4 linked regions of the Nothobranchius furzeri genome follow. The protein of the gene in region 1 interacts with the protein of each later gene in a pairwise test. Links are inferred from orthologs where the notes say so. Each region holds a gene or a part of one and is shown in the gene's direction. Other genes may lie near its edges. The genes, in order: drap1, gtf2b, nfyba and pole3.

Region 1 (4,017 bases):
CAGCCACTCTCCTCCTCAGCACCAAACCTGTACACCTGCGAGGGTCTGTTACTCTCCAGCCAGCCTTCAAACTCTGATCTGGGAGTTCTTCTGGAGTCAAAAACTATCCAGGGATCCATGTCTGCAGCCATGGCCTCAGCGGCAAAGGCCTCAGCCATGAACGGGGTTTCCCCCTCTCCATCTACAGGGGCTCCTTCTCCCTCCATCATGCTTTTAGAGTGGACGAATCCAGTCGTTTGTTCTGCTGAGTGGAAACAAACAGTCTGGCTTTAAAAACACCTCACATGTTTGAATACACAAACACACGGCCTGTGGTACTGTAGTTCAAATTACCACTAAAACTACAAGCCCCAGAATGCATCAGGACAGAGCACTGCTACCAGTCTGGAGCCGCCCTAAGGAACTCTGCTCATTTGATTAGAAACATAACAAACTTGGAGGTTTGGACTTCTCAGTACAGTAGTTTGATTGAAGCCCCAGCGATGTTGGGTTTGTGGCTCTGGCTTTTATCTGGCAACACAGGCTCGTCTTCAACTAGCAGTTTTTACTTCTCCTAACATTTTAAAAATTAATATTTAAATTTGCGTACTTTTATTTTCATCGAGGGATTTTAAACAGTCGTGAAAGCATTTGGTAAATGTTTAATACAATACGTTAAGGAAAATAATACGATATATTAATTTTCTAGAAATCTCACTTAAATAAGAAACCACAAAAACATTATAAAACATCTCTTCCGCTATCGACCCTGAACTCTGACCAAGTTTATAACGTTTGACCCATCTGGCCTATAAGATTCAGCGGTGCCAACTAACAGACCACATTTAGCATAATTTACTACATATTTAAAGCATCTTACCAAAACCCTGCTTGTTCTACAGATTGTTCCCCATTCGGACGACTGTTAGCAGCTCCTGTTTGCAGTAACATGAAAGAAAACAACCGAACTACTTCCTTCTAGTTGCTGCTAGCCAACTGGCTAGCTGCAGCGGTTTTTCATAAGGCGCTGCACTTTCGCTCATGCGCATTGGGCAGAGCTGTTGTCGCCCGACTGCAAAAGAGAAAACTTAGCTTTCAGGCAAATACCAATAGAATGCCCATTATCTTAGTGAACTATTCGTACTAATAATGGTCTTTAAACATTAATATATGAAACATATCTCAACTAATTAATACGTGGAACGCTCAGATTAAAATGCTAGCATCACAGTGTTCGCTGGAAGTTAGCGGAACCAAAGTGACCGGACCTGTTTGCGGAGGAGCACCAAGGAACGACTGACGACGTGCTAACAAGTTAGCCGGTTAGCTACCAATATCTGTTGTATGTGCGGTTGGATTGAATCACATATGATATACGAATATAATCCTGAATACTTTGTTTTGTAGTTTATCCTCCCAGGTTGTTTAACTATGCCCAGCAAAAAGAAGAAGTACAACGCCAGATTTCCTCCGGTGAGTCAAAACTTTCATTTGAAACGAGCAAACAGGAGCAGCTAGTTGTGGTTAGCTTCAGGAGATTCGGGCTTTATTTGGTCTAATGGAATGGAAAACCAAATTAGCATCCCTGATGTTTTTCACTGAACTACAACTTAGCCACTTACAGGTTGTAGGTTTCCCTCAATCAGCTAAAAAAGCTATTTTCATGTATATATTTATTTGCTGAGACATCAGTCGTTCGACTTGACTTTGGTTGTTTTTAGCATTGCCTACCACCGACATGGTAAATTATACATGCAGAAATTCTATGATAGAGTTCTTGTACTTATTATTTACCTGCATATGGACTTGCATATAACAAAGTTAACACATATGTAAATAAATGAACTGAGGGGTTGGGTTCTTCACTGAGCTGTTTTTAATGTTCTGCTAACAGTTAGTCTGTGATACGATTTTACAGTAATGAGGAGAAAAAACTGCTTTAAGACATACAGAAAATAACATTTATTTTTGTTTTAGGCAAGAATTAAGAAGATTATGCAGACAGACGAAGAAATCGGCAAAGTGGCTGCAGCAGTTCCTGTTATTATCTGTATCCTTTTTTCTGTAAAGGTTGGATATTTGCGAATTGTTGCTTTTACTTGTACAGTCATGTACAAACTACAAAGCATTTTGAATCTCTGTAATATCTTTGATGAAAAAATCATTTTAAAGAGAATCATAAGCATTTATGCTGTTGTTGATGTTTCCTTCACTGAGTCATCAGCGAGAGCTCTTGAACTCTTTCTGGAGTCTTTGCTTACAAAGGCTTGTCACGTCACCCAGTCGAGGAATGCAAAGACTATGACAACATCACATCTGTAAGTCTTGTGTTTGAGTCAAACCTTTTATTAGTGTGTTATTTTACATGTAAACATAAAAAAATATTCAGATTTAAAGATTCATTGTTGTTTTTACTGTTACAGCACTTCAGGGTTGAATGTCAGCCCCCTCATTTATCTATAATACTCACTTTTATCAAGTGCTGTAAAAAGTATCTGCCCCTCAGGTCTTTGAAACATTTAAAGAGCAAGTCACCCCCTACCAGAGTCTTACTCCACTCCCTGTTTAAAAAATGCAAGTGCTGTTGTCTAGCAGATCGAGAGGGCGGAGCCGCTAATAAATACACACACATTCTCACAGACATTGTGACATCATAATGTACCAGCTAATGTCATGGAGTACCTCTTAGCCCATAGCGATGGCAGATTTAAATTCAAATGCAGTGCAGAGTTTTTATCTGAAGACGATTCAATACTGACGGTTTTAAGCAGAATATTTATTTAAATTTGAACTAAGATGCACTAAAGGGCCAAAATATTGACTCCATGTCTGTGCAGCACGATTAGACACTCAATTTATCAGCAAAAAAAAGTGGTTTTGGGGTGACTTGCTCTTTAAACATAAAAAAAAACAGATTAGCAAAGAAGCATCCTCATCAGACAAAGTTAACTAGAATAAATGGAAAATGCAGTTTTCTAATGATTATTTAATTAAGGGAACAAAATCTGTGTAAACCAACCTGATCCTACAGGTTGATACACTCTGAAGCAACATCTGCAGTCAAGTGTCTATGATATAACTGGTAACGAGTCCTGCATGACTGTGGAGGAGTTTTGTCGTTATGCAGTAATAATAATTCAGCCACGTTGGGAGGGTCTCCTAGCCTGGCAAGCCAGACTAAATAAATGTATTATTTAGTCTGGCCACGCTCCATTGACGGCTCTCGGTTGTGGGGCGGGTTCTACCGTTGTCTTCCAAATGATCTCCGCATTCCACTGGACAAAGAATGTGACATCCTCTTGTTTCACTCTGTTGCATCATCCCACCCACCAGGCATATAGAGTGCCCTGATTGGCCCACAAAGTGGATAAAGCTCTCTGATTTGTTCACTAAGCAGATAGAGCACTATGATTGGCCCACCATTATGGACCAATCACAGCTCTTTATGTGTTTGAAACCCCTCTAGAGAGCTGTGATTGGCCAGCCAGAGTCCTGGTAGGAGCTGCGGAGGTCCCAGTGGAGCGTGCCTGGACTTTGCAAAGCAAGAATTTGGTCTAGTTCACTAGGCTAAGGGTTTCCAGCATGAATGACCTGTTTAAGGTCGAAGGTCAGATGTTGTCCTTCAGGAGAGCTGATTCCAGTTACAGCAAGTGGCCCATGTCCTGATGCAGCAGAGCAGCCCCTGACCATCACACTGCCACCTCTATGTCTGACTGTTACAATATTCTAGCGCTAGTTTTACTCTAGATGGAGCCTTCTACAACGTTTTGCCTTTGTCTCATCAGAGCAGAATGTTTCCCAAAGGCCTTGTGGATCATCTACACCAGTGGTTCCTAACCTGGGGGTCCCGACCCCCACAAGGGGGCGCCAAAGCCTCTCATTGGGTCGCCAGGACCTCTCCACTTTAAGGGGTTAAAACTTCATTTATTACTTGTTTATAGCCTACATTTTGCTCACATTTTTTTCATGAGTGAAAAGTTTACTGATATTAAGACAGGAAATAATTAGTACAGAAAAAGTAACACACTTTTAAGAACA
Region 2 (3,564 bases), on another chromosome or scaffold:
CTTCATTAAATCTTCTTAAAAGTTTTGCCCGTTAACGTTGTTCTAAGAACTGTTGTGACTGAAGAGCTTTTGGGGGACGGCGTGGTGTGTCAGACGTGTTTCTGATTAGGAAAGCACATATCTGCCATCTTCTACTCATCAATGAAAACTAATCCATATGAGATCATCGTGATGCACCGAGATATCGAATCGTTGACCCGATAATCGTAATCGAGTCGGGAGACTAGTGAAGAGTCGCACCTCTAGTATCTATGCAGAGCCCACGGTAAACATCTGCACTGGCTTCTTTATCTGATGAAGCTCTACGTTTCTCCTCCAGGGAACTGGTGCTGCCAGCTTTGACGAGTTTGGGAACTCCAAGTATCAGAACCGACGGACCATGAGCAGCTCTGACCGGGCCATGCTGCACGCCTTTAAAGAGATTAGCAACATGGCGGACCGGATCAACCTTCCGAGGAACATCGTAGTAAGTTCACAGCAACACCGGCCTTATTGACTCAGCTGACAGGATTCATTAGAGGAGCTCATCGGCGTAACTCGGACCGACGCAGCTCTGCCTGACCGATGTTCCCAAGGGCATGGTTCGGTATCTTCCCTCTACTTTCTCCCCTGTTTTTAGTCCCTTCTCTGTTGAGGTACCTGGCTGAGTCTGGCCAGCATCGTGATTCTGGCTGCTGATTGGCTAGGGGGCGGAGTCACAGGCCTTGTGTTTCACTGCCTGCAGCCATTTCCTGGTTCAGACAAAAAGCCATGAAACTGAGCTAAATGTCCAACAACGCCACCATTTTTCAGCCGAGTTCTTTCTGTGAAGCAGGCAGGTTACCTTACACTGTTTACTGATCACCTCATGTTATTTTGTCACGAGTAAAAACCACGCCCCCCCTCTGCACCTATGAGGGGCCTTTCTGTTATGAAGCTGGCATGAAAACAAAACTACACTCAGGTGGGCTGACTCGAACCACGCTGTACAGAGCTGTTTTAGGCTGAGTGGTGCTCCTGGAAAACCACCTTTAGTGTCAGTCCAGTGTTTCAGTGCAGATCCCACACACCTGAACAGGTAGAGCTATGGCCTTCAGTTCTGTTAGGTCATTATGAGGTTCTGTAGTCATAAAATGATAATGGTAAAAACTCATGCACATGCTGTTTCTGCTCCTAGTTTGTGGTGTGCAGGAACTCAGCAATGCTGCACAGAAACCAACTTCACTCGTGGATATTCCGTAACCGTTATTTTTCACGGAGAACGCCCGCGGATCCCTCTTCTGTCGGCATTCTAGGAATCGAAATAAAAAACTTTGAATGATTCCGGGAAAAACTAACAGTTGGAACCGGTTCCAATCGATGCCCAACCCTAAAAGACATTATCGGAGCACATTAAAGTGAAAGTGAACGGACGTGCAGCAGAAGCAGCAACAATGACCGGGACTGCTTTGTTTCCACCTAGGAAGTGCTTCAACTCTCCCATGAAGGAGTATTTTAGACTCCCAAAGCTGCTAAAAGAGAAATGCAGATGGCTGGGTCATCTGCAGAGCTGGCAGAAATTTATCATCTCGGACATCATCACACAGATTACCTCCACCTGAGTGAGATTACCAAGCCTTTTATTGTTTCTAATATTGATGATTTTGGCGTTCAGCTCATGAAAAACCAAAATTCCTATCTAAAAAAATTAGCATATTTAATCCGACCAATAAAATAAAAGTGTTTTTAATACATAAAAAGTCAGCCTTCAAATAATTATGTTCAGTTATGTACTCAATACTTGGTCGGGAATCCTTTAGCAGAAATGACTGCTTCAGTGCGGCGTGGCATGGAGGCGATCAGCCTGTGGTACTGCTGAGGTGTTATCCAGGTCCAGGAGGCTTCGATAGCGGCCTTAAGCTCATCCAGAGTGTTGGGTCTGGCGTCTCTCAACTTTCTCTTCACAATATCCCACAGAGTCTCTACGGGGTTCAGGTCAGGAGAGTTGGCAGGCCAGTTGAGCACAGTAATACCATGGTCAGTAAACCATTCACCAGTGGTGTTGGCACTGTGAGCAGGTGCCAGGTCGTGCTGAAAAATGAAATCTTCATCTCCATAAAGCTTTTCAGCAGATGGAAGCATGAAGTGCTCCAAAATCTGGAAGTTTCAGAGCCGCAGTTCCTCGTGGAGTCTTGAATCTGCTGGTTAAAGGTTGGTTTATGCTTGACGCGTCCGCGAGGTTCGCACGGCTCCACGCGGAAAAGTTGCGTCATTTTAACAACCACGCCTCTCCTCCGCACGACCCAGAATTTCCGCAACGCGCACCTCGGAAATTTTCTAACCACGCGGACGGTCGGACGCGGAAAAACATGGCAGACCGGCAAGAACTAGTATGGCAGAGGTTGGTAAATACAGACATGTGTATGATTCAGCTCTCAGAGATCACCGTGATCACCATGTTGTTAATAATTCTTGGAGAGAAATAGCTCGCACTGTCGGAAAAGACGAGGACGCTGTTAAAAATGCTGGAATGCCATGTTGTAAACAGTAATTTCTACTTCTACTATGGTGTAGTGTTGGATGCATGCCGTAGAGCTCCATGCTGCCCCCTACAGTTTGGGAGAATATTGGCTCACCGCAGAGACAAGCCGCATGAACCATAAACGCTGCGAGTTGTGAAGCGCGTTCCATCCGCGAGCCGCATCACCGCGCGGAACGTGAATGCGTCAAGCATAAACCAAGCTTCAGGGTTAGGAGCCAGGAGCAGCCACTGTTGTGGACGCCGTCTCACCTTCGTGCCCCTCCCGCTGTTGACTGCCTCTGCTGTGTACTGCGGTGGGCTTCAGCCAGACCTGAACCTTGCTTCTGAAACCCGTCTTGTGATCACTCACTTCTGCGCACCACACACTACGGAGCAAGCAGACACACTCCTTGAAGTAAAATCTTGCCGTCCAACCTGGACAAACCTCACCCACGCTCCAAATGGAAGTCCATGAAGTGCTGTCCAGACAGACGGGAGTTGGAACGACCTCCACATGAATAAACTTTCATCATTTGGACTGATTTTGATGCTTTTGTGAGCTTTACGCTAACGCTGTGGTGACCGACTCAGCTGTCCTGCCCCTCCTACGTCACGCCGTCAGTGACACAAATGAGCTAGATTTTTGTTGAAGCTGCAGACGAGTGACATCATCTGAGTTATTAAACACTGAAAAGTTGATCAACTTGGTTTTTCACCCAACAGAACGATGTTTGTGATTTTAAACACCTGTAGAGGTGAACATCCAGCTGACACGCTGTGTGGCTCTCCTCTCCAGGACAGAACAAACAACCTGTTCAAGCAGGTTTACGAGCAGAAGAGTCTGAAGGGCCGAGCCAACGACGCCATCGCCTCCGCCTGCCTCTACATCGCCTGCAGACAGGAGGGGGTGCCCAGAACCTTTAAAGGTCAGATAAATACTTATTTCCTCTTCAGGTGTCCAGACATCCCTCGTTAAATGAGAGTTGGGATGCATTTAGTTTGGGGACCTGATCTTCTCAGGGGTGAAGGTTTCCTGCTGCAAGTTCTCAGGTGTTAATGTCTCTAAAACGTTTCATTAGTGCTGC
Region 3 (4,056 bases), on another chromosome or scaffold:
ACACACACACACACACAAATGCTAAAGTGAAAGGACAACTGGCTGAGTACAGATGCAATAGGCAACAAAGAAGATGGAAATGTCATCAAAAGGAGCCAAATGCACCAGGATCAGCAGCAGCAGCCCGGGCATCACTACACGGCACCAAGAGGAGGCACAAGAAGCACCCAGGCAGACCGCCTCTCCCGGGGCAGTTGGCCCTCACAGAGGAAACACTGATAAAACCTAAAGAGATTAAGATAACAAATCAAATATCAAATTTAGCATGAACACTGGATTAATTAAATTCTAATTAAAACACACTGATAAAAGATAACCAAGTAGAAAGCAACAATAAAATATGTAAACATTATGTAATATATAAGGGCACCTCGCCTTGGGAGTGTGTCCTGACTTTGGGTATAACAAGGAGACGGCTGCCAGAGGAGAGCAGGGGCCGCGAAGGCTCGTATTTCAGAAGAAGTTCTGAGAAATAAGAAGGCCCAAGACCATTAAGACATTTAAAAAACATTAAAAGAACCTTCAAATCGATCCTGAAACGTATGGGAAGCTAATGCAGACGGGTTTAACGTGCTCCTGCATCTTGGTCTTCTCCTTGGACACGTGCTGCTGAATTTTGAAGAAATTGTAAACCTGAGGTGCTCTTTTCGGGAAAACCAGAATTCAGCATAGCCACAATGCAAAAGCAATCAAAACGTTCAATATATGCTCCTCATTTTGGTTTATATAAATCATATCTCAGCTAGTTGTTTGTGTTATAAACCCCTGATAATATGTGAGCAAATTTCATGTTCTTTTGATGTTCTTTAAAATGTTTGTGATGTTCTGAATGCAAATATTTGTTAAAAAAATACAACAACAATTACATTTCATAAAATAAAATAAAAACATTAACGATTCTGTTGGGGGACACAGTTTGGAGGCTTTTACGATGAATAACTTAAATTTAAATGAGACTAGAGAGAGCATGACTAGTTATGTAAAAAAATGACATATTTTGACGTTTGGACAGTTGCATTTCAGTGTCACTAAGAAAGTGGGAATGTATGCAACAACAGTTGATTGGTAGGGGGGGAATTAAAATGAACGATATGATCCCACTTGTGTTATTTTTAACATTTGGAAAGTCTACTACCACCACAAAAATAATCCTCCTCACAACTCATAGGTTTGACACTGTTGTTACCTTAAAATGTACGAGCCTTTAAACCAGCTTTCAGTTCTGTGATCCTAAGGTTTCCGGGAGGTCCTGGAATGCAGCACGTCCCTCTCCTGGTCATTTGTGGTAATGCGGCCGCGGCTCCGCGCTGGGACTGGTCCTTTCGCAGCCATTTTCTGTCCAACCAAACAGCCGTCTCAGGGAGGGAACCAACCAGGGCTTCATTGCAGGTTTGTGTTTGGCTCCGGCCAATGATTGCTAACCGATTCCTCGTTAGCTCGAATGGAAATATCCGTCTCTGACTGATTTTTTTTTTCATTTGTTGTCTGAGTGAATGAAGGCTGCTCATCAGGAAGAATGCACTTTTAAAATTTGTGTAAACATTTCGGCCCGGCTACGTCTTGCTCTGCTTGTGCACGACAAAAGAGCAGGCCGTTGCAGGATTGTGCTGCAGTGGATTTACGATGAGAATTAATGCGAAGGGCATTATGCCTCTAAGGTTATCTCCAAAAGGTAAAGTCCCTCCAGGACAGTCTCTGCTCATCATGCTGAAATTATTGGCTTTCTACATAATTTCAAATCCACTAAGCTAGTTATTGGTTAACATTAGCTAGCGTTAGCTAAATGTCCCACATACCCCCAGCTGACGTCTGCTCTGTAGCCACACAGTGACCAAACACATCATATCACCACAGTTAAACATTTTACATGTCACTAAAATCATCTACTTGCTGTTTAACAGACGACATGACCCAATTCAGCTAGCCAGCGACCACAATGTCGAGGCTGCTTGAGGGTTTTTCTGAATATAGCGGCAATTTCCGCTAGTAGCATGAATGAAGGGGTTTATATTTACGTAAGTTTGAGGTTTAAATTTGATTAAACATTTATTTTAACAATACTGGGGAGTATGATATTTTTTAAAGCGGAACTAATAAAACCGCTTAAATTCAGCGGCGGACACATTTTCAGTTGCGCCAAATGAGCTGCAGGAAAACAGACCAGCAGGTTCAGTCTCCGTGTGTGTTTGATCAAAGTTTTACTAAAAATACAAAGAGATGGTTTTGTAATTTGTATTTTGAAAGTCCTTACTGTCAGCCTTCTCAGGACATGACGTCAGCGCTGAGCACAAAACGTGCCAATGTTTGTCAAAACCAGTCTATGATTATTAAGCAACTAACAGTCTATGTTTAAGTGGCTTTGATCTGCCAACTTACATCAATCACTTCCTGCAGCTGAAACAGGAAATATTCATGGCTGGCTTCAAGATGTTGGCATCTGGAGCCTTTTTCTAATAAGTTTCATTTTAGGCAAAACCTAAGTATGTGTGTTACAGATGGATGGAGACAGTGCAACCACCGATGCCTCTCAGTTGGGCATCACTGGAGAATACATGGCTTCCAGTCACTATGTTCTCCAGTCTCAGGATGGTTAGTAGGACAAGGACCAGTTTAAAATCACCATCATTTCTTTTCCCTGGGTTTTAAGACTAAATTTGTGTCTGTTTTGTAGATGATGGAGAGGAGAATTTAAATGATCACGAAGATGGCGGCATAAAGGAGAACTACAGGGAGCAGGACATCTACCTTCCTATCGCCAACGTAGCTCGCATCATGAAGAATGCTGTTCCGCAGACCGGGAAGGTTTGTAAGAGAGGAGAGGAGGAATCATCAGGAAAAGGCTCTTATTGACAGAATCTGATTTGTTTTTCACCAAATTCTTTTTTTAAACAAAGTACTAAAGTTTTCATGTTTTAATATAGAATCTGATTTCAATATCCTATTGCAGAAATCATAGGTCCACTGTTATTTTTATATGAATGAAACCATTTAGCCTCCATCCATCATTCTGGGACTGATGCTAAGTAATTAACTGGGGACTTAATGCTTCTTGAGGGCTTCACTTCACTTTAGGAGTTAAAGTTCATACATTTAAATTTATTTTAATCTTTTTTTTACTCCTAACAGATTGCAAAAGATGCCAAAGAGTGTGTGCAGGAGTGTGTGAGTGAGTTCATCAGTTTCATCACATCTGAAGCGAGCGAGCGCTGCCACCAGGAGAAGAGGAAGACCATCAATGGGGAGGATATCCTATTTGCCATGTCGACACTGGGCTTTGACATGTATGTGGATCCACTAAAGCTCTACCTGCAGAAGTTCAGAGAGGTGACAACACAATCTCTATACACACTGCTGTATGAAATAAAAACTATTTTGTATGTAGTTTTACTTTTGTTGCACAGAAACAAATAATTTTCTAAGAATAAGAGCAGGTCTTATAATTTAAGGCATGGTTTTGGTCCAGAAGTGTTCAGAGTACTTATGACTCTTTGACCTTTCTTCACAAAGTTTTAAATATCATATAAAATAAAATGACTGTGTCGTTTTGGTCATATCCTTAAAATAACATCAGCTTTGTTATAACAACATTTAGCTCAGTGTCTGTAGAGCTGAGTCGTTGTTTGCTAATGGTGGTCAGGTGCATCTTACATTGTCTTCTTAAGATAATCAGATTTAGGTCTGATGTTGATTATTATTATTAAAATCCATCCTACAGCTCAGCTGATGTCTTTCTGACACATAAAAGTACAGAGAAAAATGTTCATCTGATTCCACTACCAATTGTTGGATTAATAAATTGAGGTGGATTTCAGTCCACTCGTCTCTGTACCCAGTCACGTTTCCATGCTTTTGTTCTCCTCTCAGGCCATGAAGGGAGAAAAGGGCATCCCAGGGGTGTCAGTGGGGGAAAGCCTGGGTGAGGACCTCACAGAGGACAGCTTCAGTAAGTGATGCAGATGAAACTTCTGGCAAACATTTTTAAATTCCTCATCGTGTTTGTCCTTGAATTGCTCCAACATTTCTTCCTTTTCTCCAGCAAACCCACTTCCTGCTGGG
Region 4 (4,170 bases), on another chromosome or scaffold:
CCTAGACTTTTCTACTTTAAATAACACTTTCAAAATTAACTGGGCTAAACATTTTCTTAAAAACCATACCTCTATCTGGAACCTTATACCATATCATATTTTCTCTTGTTTTGGTGGCTTTAATTTTATTTTAAATTGTAATTACAATGTTGAGAAACTCCCTATAAAACTTTCACCCTTCCATAAGCAAGTCCTCTTAGCGTGGACCCTCATTTATAAACACAACTTCTCACCTCACAAATATCTTATCTGGAACAACAGAGATATTTTATTTAAAAATAAATCACTTTTCCTGGAAACTTGGGTCCAGAATGGGATCCTATTGGTGGCTCAGCTGGTTAATAAAGAGGGACAACTACTTACTTACATCGACTTTATTGCCCTATATAATTTCCCAATCAGTGTTCAGGAATTGTCAATGGTGCTTGGTGCCATACCCTCAGGGGCTTTAATGTTATATAAAAACACTGACAGCTCAATATCTACCTCAGTCACTCTCCCTAATCCAGTTGAGTCACCAATAGGAAAAATCTGCTTTTCTCTAGAACTTGGTAACAGCAATAAGAGAATACGTAGTTTATTACAGAAAGATATCGTCTCTCTCCCGTATATAATATCTTATTGGAACCGATATGTTCCAGATATCAAGTGGAAGACAGTCTGGATGATCCCCCAGAAATATTTTATTGTAAATAAGGTGAAAGAAGTCTCATTTAAACTTCTACATAAATGTTATCCAGCCAGTCATTACATGGTAAAATTTAAAAGGGTCATAAACACTAATTGTACTTTCTGTGGGGATCATCCAGAAACTGTGACACATCTTTTTTGGTGCTGTTCTTTTACACAAAGATTCTGGAAGGAATTTAGCAGGTTTGTTACTGTCCATATTTTAAGGGAGTTTTCTTTACGATGGGAAGATGTTTTGTTCTGTTTCTTTAAGTTCCCCATGAAGAATGATAAATGTTTTTTTTATGATAAATCTGTTAATACTTTTAGCTAAATTCTTTATTCATAAATGTAAGTTTACTAACAAAACACCAAATTTCTGTCATTTTTAAGCATGTGGAATTGTACATAAAATCAATATCAGAATCCACCAACAAAAAAAGCTCTCAAAACAATATATATGTGAATTTTTGCGTGTATTCTTATAATTGTTACTTTTTTCTTTTACCTCTGGCTTTGTGTGTTCATGTTCTGTTGTTTTGTATACTTCATTCGTTTCTATGTTGTATACTCATTGTTTGTTAAATAAAGTAAAAAAATAAATAAACGCTGACGTTTCCTCCTCCAAGGTCTAGCTCATCGACATATATACGTCTAGCTGCAGACTGTTATTGAAAATGTTGGCTGGTACTTTTAGTTTTCAAGACAGGAAGTACGTCATTCGCATCAAGGTCAAAGTTCATCGTTGACGCAGGCGGACTTGTGGTGGTTGAAAGCTTCGCGGGAAACGTCCCGAAACAAACGACGGTTTGAGCAGCGGCGCGCGAGCTTTTCACGTTAGAACGAGGGATTCGAGTCACGTTAACTACGCGCGCTGACATCTACCGGAGACTCGACCGGGGGGAAACGGAGTGGTTCGGGAGAAATGGCGGAAAGGCCCGAAGACCTAAATCTTCCCAACGCGGTGATCACCCGCATCATCAAGGAGGCGGTGAGTGAAACCCGCCGGGTCCGGGTTCCACCGGTTACCGTCTGATTCCACCCACTGTCCGGATTAAACAGACCACAGATCAGCTGTGTGTTCATTCAGTCCCAGTTTACAGTTGTTGTGGGTGTTGGTGACGTCACATGAAACCAGAGACGTTCACGGTTTGGCTCTTAGAGCTTTGGTTCATCAGATCTCCTCTGGTTGAGGGTACTGTTTCTAATAACAGCCCACGGAGATGGAGATAATTGCCTTCAGGCTACTGGCCCTTCAAACATGACAGATCTGTAAGAAGGATGAGAAATTAAAGGTAACCAGGGTTAACCAGTCCCTCCTGGATTTCACCAGCTTCAAGAAAAGTCTACAAAATACAATTTTACTTGCCCTTGTCATGTTCTAGAAAACAAAACCATTTTATAGTCAGTGACCAAAAAAAAAAAAAGCAATAAAAATCAGATTTGGGGTTTTAGATTCTGATCTAATAATTGCTGCATTTTGATTTAAAAGGAAAAAAAAATCTGCTCAAATTCAAAATGAGTCTGAATCAAAAATAACATTCAGATTCCGTTTGTTTGAAATGAGAAAATTATCAGTACTTCATATTTATTCCGGAGTTAAGACCTTTTAATTATAAGTCATCTCTAAATAAATCTGATAAAGTTCAGTGTTTTGATGATGAATCTGAACGATTTTGGTCATTTTTAAACGTTTTGACACGTTCATGTGTGAATTAGCTTTTTGTGAGTGAAAAAGAGCAGTTGCGAGCTGGCTCTGACTCCAGAGTGAAGCTCTGAGATAACTCCTCCGCACCGTTTGTTTCTCACAGCTCCCAGATGGGGTGAACGTGTCCAAAGAAGCTCGCAGAGCCATCTCTCAGGCAGCCAGCGTGTTTGTGTTGTATGCAACCTCCTGGTGAGGAAAAAAAGCCAATAAAACTGCATTTTTGTTCACAAGATCAAGCTTTTAACACATTTGTGACCCAGCAGAAAGACCTGGATGGTTCCCGTCAACGCTCCTCAAGCCAGTTTCCTTTTTCCTTGCAGTGCGAACAACTTTGCCATGAAGGCTAAAAGGAAAACTCTGAACGCGGGAGACGTTCTGGCTGCCATGGAGGAGATGGAGTTCGAGCGGTTCATGGAGCCTCTCAGGGAAGCTCTGGAAGGTGAGAACATCATTAAGAATAGTCTGTCAGAAGACATCAGCAGGCAGCAGATCCAGTTTGAGGCTGGCTCTGTCGGAATGCCGAATCATGATGGGGTTCCAAGGCCAGTTCCTTGGATTTCCCACTCTGGACGGACCGTAAACGCAGCATTCTTGTAAATGTGGTTTTCTTATCAGATTTTTTTTTTTTTTTTTGTGTCGATAGGAACTTTTTCACCCCTGAGTAAACACAGAAAAGCCATCAGGTTCAAGTTCCTGCTGAAGCTTCCAGGTGTTCCAGCAGCCGGACCAGCTAACAATGTCTTTGTTCTCCACAGTCTATAAGAAGGACCAGAAGGGAAAGAAGGAGGTTTCTGAGCAGAAACGCAAAGATAAAGAAAAAAAGGTTGATTCTGAGAATGACAAGAGCAGAGAGGATGACGAGGCTGATGAAGAGGAGCAGCAGCAATGCATGGAGGAGGAGCCTGAAGAGGAGGTGGAGAACTGAGGACTCCACCCACATCTTTGGGTAGCTGATGTTAGACCGGACACACACCCGTCCAAACTCGCAGGAAACAGTCGGCCCGTTTCTTTATGGGCCTAACGTTTGAGACTTTTGATCCTGCACCAGGTCACCATCCATTCTGACTCGTAGGTTCCCCTCAAACTTCTGTGGTTGATTTTGGACCTCTGATATCAGAGTGAAGACTTTCACTGGGTTCTGTTTTAGAATGAAATCCCAGTTTTTTTCTTTACCATTTGTACTGTTGTAGTCATTTATTACAAAAGTCCTTCAATAAAAGTTTGTAATGAAACCTTCAGATTTGTCTCAGATCAGACAGGAAGTCTTCCTGTTGCAGGTTACCTCCACAGCAGGGGCCTGAGGAAGAAGGTTCCTCTACAACACAGTTCAGGAACCCTCCAAGGATCAGTGACCTTGGACCCTTCAGCACACAGAAGTCATCTAACCACATGACCAGGAGTTACCTTAAGCACCATGTCCAAACCATCGACATAAATATACAAAAAAAAAATAAAACGATAAAATTAACAGCAGGTCCACCTCAATGGTCCAAACAGCCTGATATTGGCCCAACCCCAATACTCACACTGCCACACTAGCTCAATACTGACCCAGGTGTGTGAGGCGTCAATTCTCAATGGGAAAGCCGATCACGCCCGCTTTGCACCCTTGATCCGCACTTCACCCAAGCCTGCAGTGACGCAGACTTGGGTGGAAGGTATTACACACAATCCATCGCCGCAGGAACATCTGAAATGCTCATTTTCCAACAAAAGTTCATTTTAGGACATTAGTTAATGCTCCAACATTTTAAGACAAAGCAATTTAAATGTTTTTCAAATAATATCCTGTT

Evidence for each region.
Region 2: the proteins of drap1 (region 1) and gtf2b interact in binary tests that used the Homo sapiens proteins (3 or more experiments, as listed by UniProt). The two-hybrid records come from large-scale screens. The link is inferred for Nothobranchius furzeri from reciprocal best matches to the Homo sapiens genes DRAP1 and GTF2B.
Region 3: the proteins of drap1 (region 1) and nfyba interact in binary tests that used the Homo sapiens proteins (3 or more experiments, as listed by UniProt). The two-hybrid records come from large-scale screens. The link is inferred for Nothobranchius furzeri from reciprocal best matches to the Homo sapiens genes DRAP1 and NFYB.
Region 4: the proteins of drap1 (region 1) and pole3 interact in binary tests that used the Homo sapiens proteins (3 or more experiments, as listed by UniProt). The two-hybrid records come from large-scale screens. The link is inferred for Nothobranchius furzeri from reciprocal best matches to the Homo sapiens genes DRAP1 and POLE3.

What each region holds. Positions count from the first base shown.
Region 1 is NC_091754.1:63,718,547-63,722,563, forward strand, and holds the start of drap1 (dr1-associated corepressor), read left to right. Parts: upstream 1-1,162; 5' UTR 1,163-1,301; intron 1,302-1,307; exon of another isoform or gene 1,308-1,386; 5' UTR 1,387-1,410; coding exon 1,411-1,452; intron 1,453-1,956; coding exon 1,957-2,029; intron 2,030-2,203; coding exon 2,204-2,297; intron 2,298-4,017. Other genes in the region: c14h11orf68 (UPF0696 protein C11orf68 homolog), read right to left, coding at 1-209. UniProt on the Homo sapiens protein: The association of the DR1/DRAP1 heterodimer with TBP results in a functional repression of both activated and basal transcription of class II genes.
Region 2 is NC_091751.1:71,403,545-71,407,108, reverse strand, and holds part of gtf2b (transcription initiation factor IIB), read left to right. Parts: intron 1-319; coding exon 320-466; intron 467-3,275; coding exon 3,276-3,405; intron 3,406-3,564. UniProt on the Homo sapiens protein: General transcription factor that plays a role in transcription initiation by RNA polymerase II (Pol II). Involved in the pre-initiation complex (PIC) formation and Pol II recruitment at promoter DNA.
Region 3 is NC_091741.1:63,172,883-63,176,938, forward strand, and holds the start of nfyba (nuclear transcription factor Y, beta a), read left to right. Parts: upstream 1-1,251; 5' UTR 1,252-1,254; coding exon 1,255-1,389; intron 1,390-1,398; exon of another isoform or gene 1,399-1,672; intron 1,673-2,495; coding exon 2,496-2,589; intron 2,590-2,671; coding exon 2,672-2,802; intron 2,803-3,126; coding exon 3,127-3,324; intron 3,325-3,864; coding exon 3,865-3,943; intron 3,944-4,036; coding exon 4,037-4,056. UniProt on the Homo sapiens protein: Component of the sequence-specific heterotrimeric transcription factor (NF-Y) which specifically recognizes a 5'-CCAAT-3' box motif found in the promoters of its target genes.
Region 4 is NC_091749.1:66,564,594-66,568,763, reverse strand, and holds pole3 (DNA polymerase epsilon subunit 3), read left to right. Parts: upstream 1-1,406; 5' UTR 1,407-1,594; coding exon 1,595-1,660; intron 1,661-2,480; coding exon 2,481-2,566; intron 2,567-2,697; coding exon 2,698-2,816; intron 2,817-3,132; coding exon 3,133-3,302; 3' UTR 3,303-3,615; downstream 3,616-4,170. UniProt on the Homo sapiens protein: Accessory component of the DNA polymerase epsilon complex. Participates in DNA repair and in chromosomal DNA replication.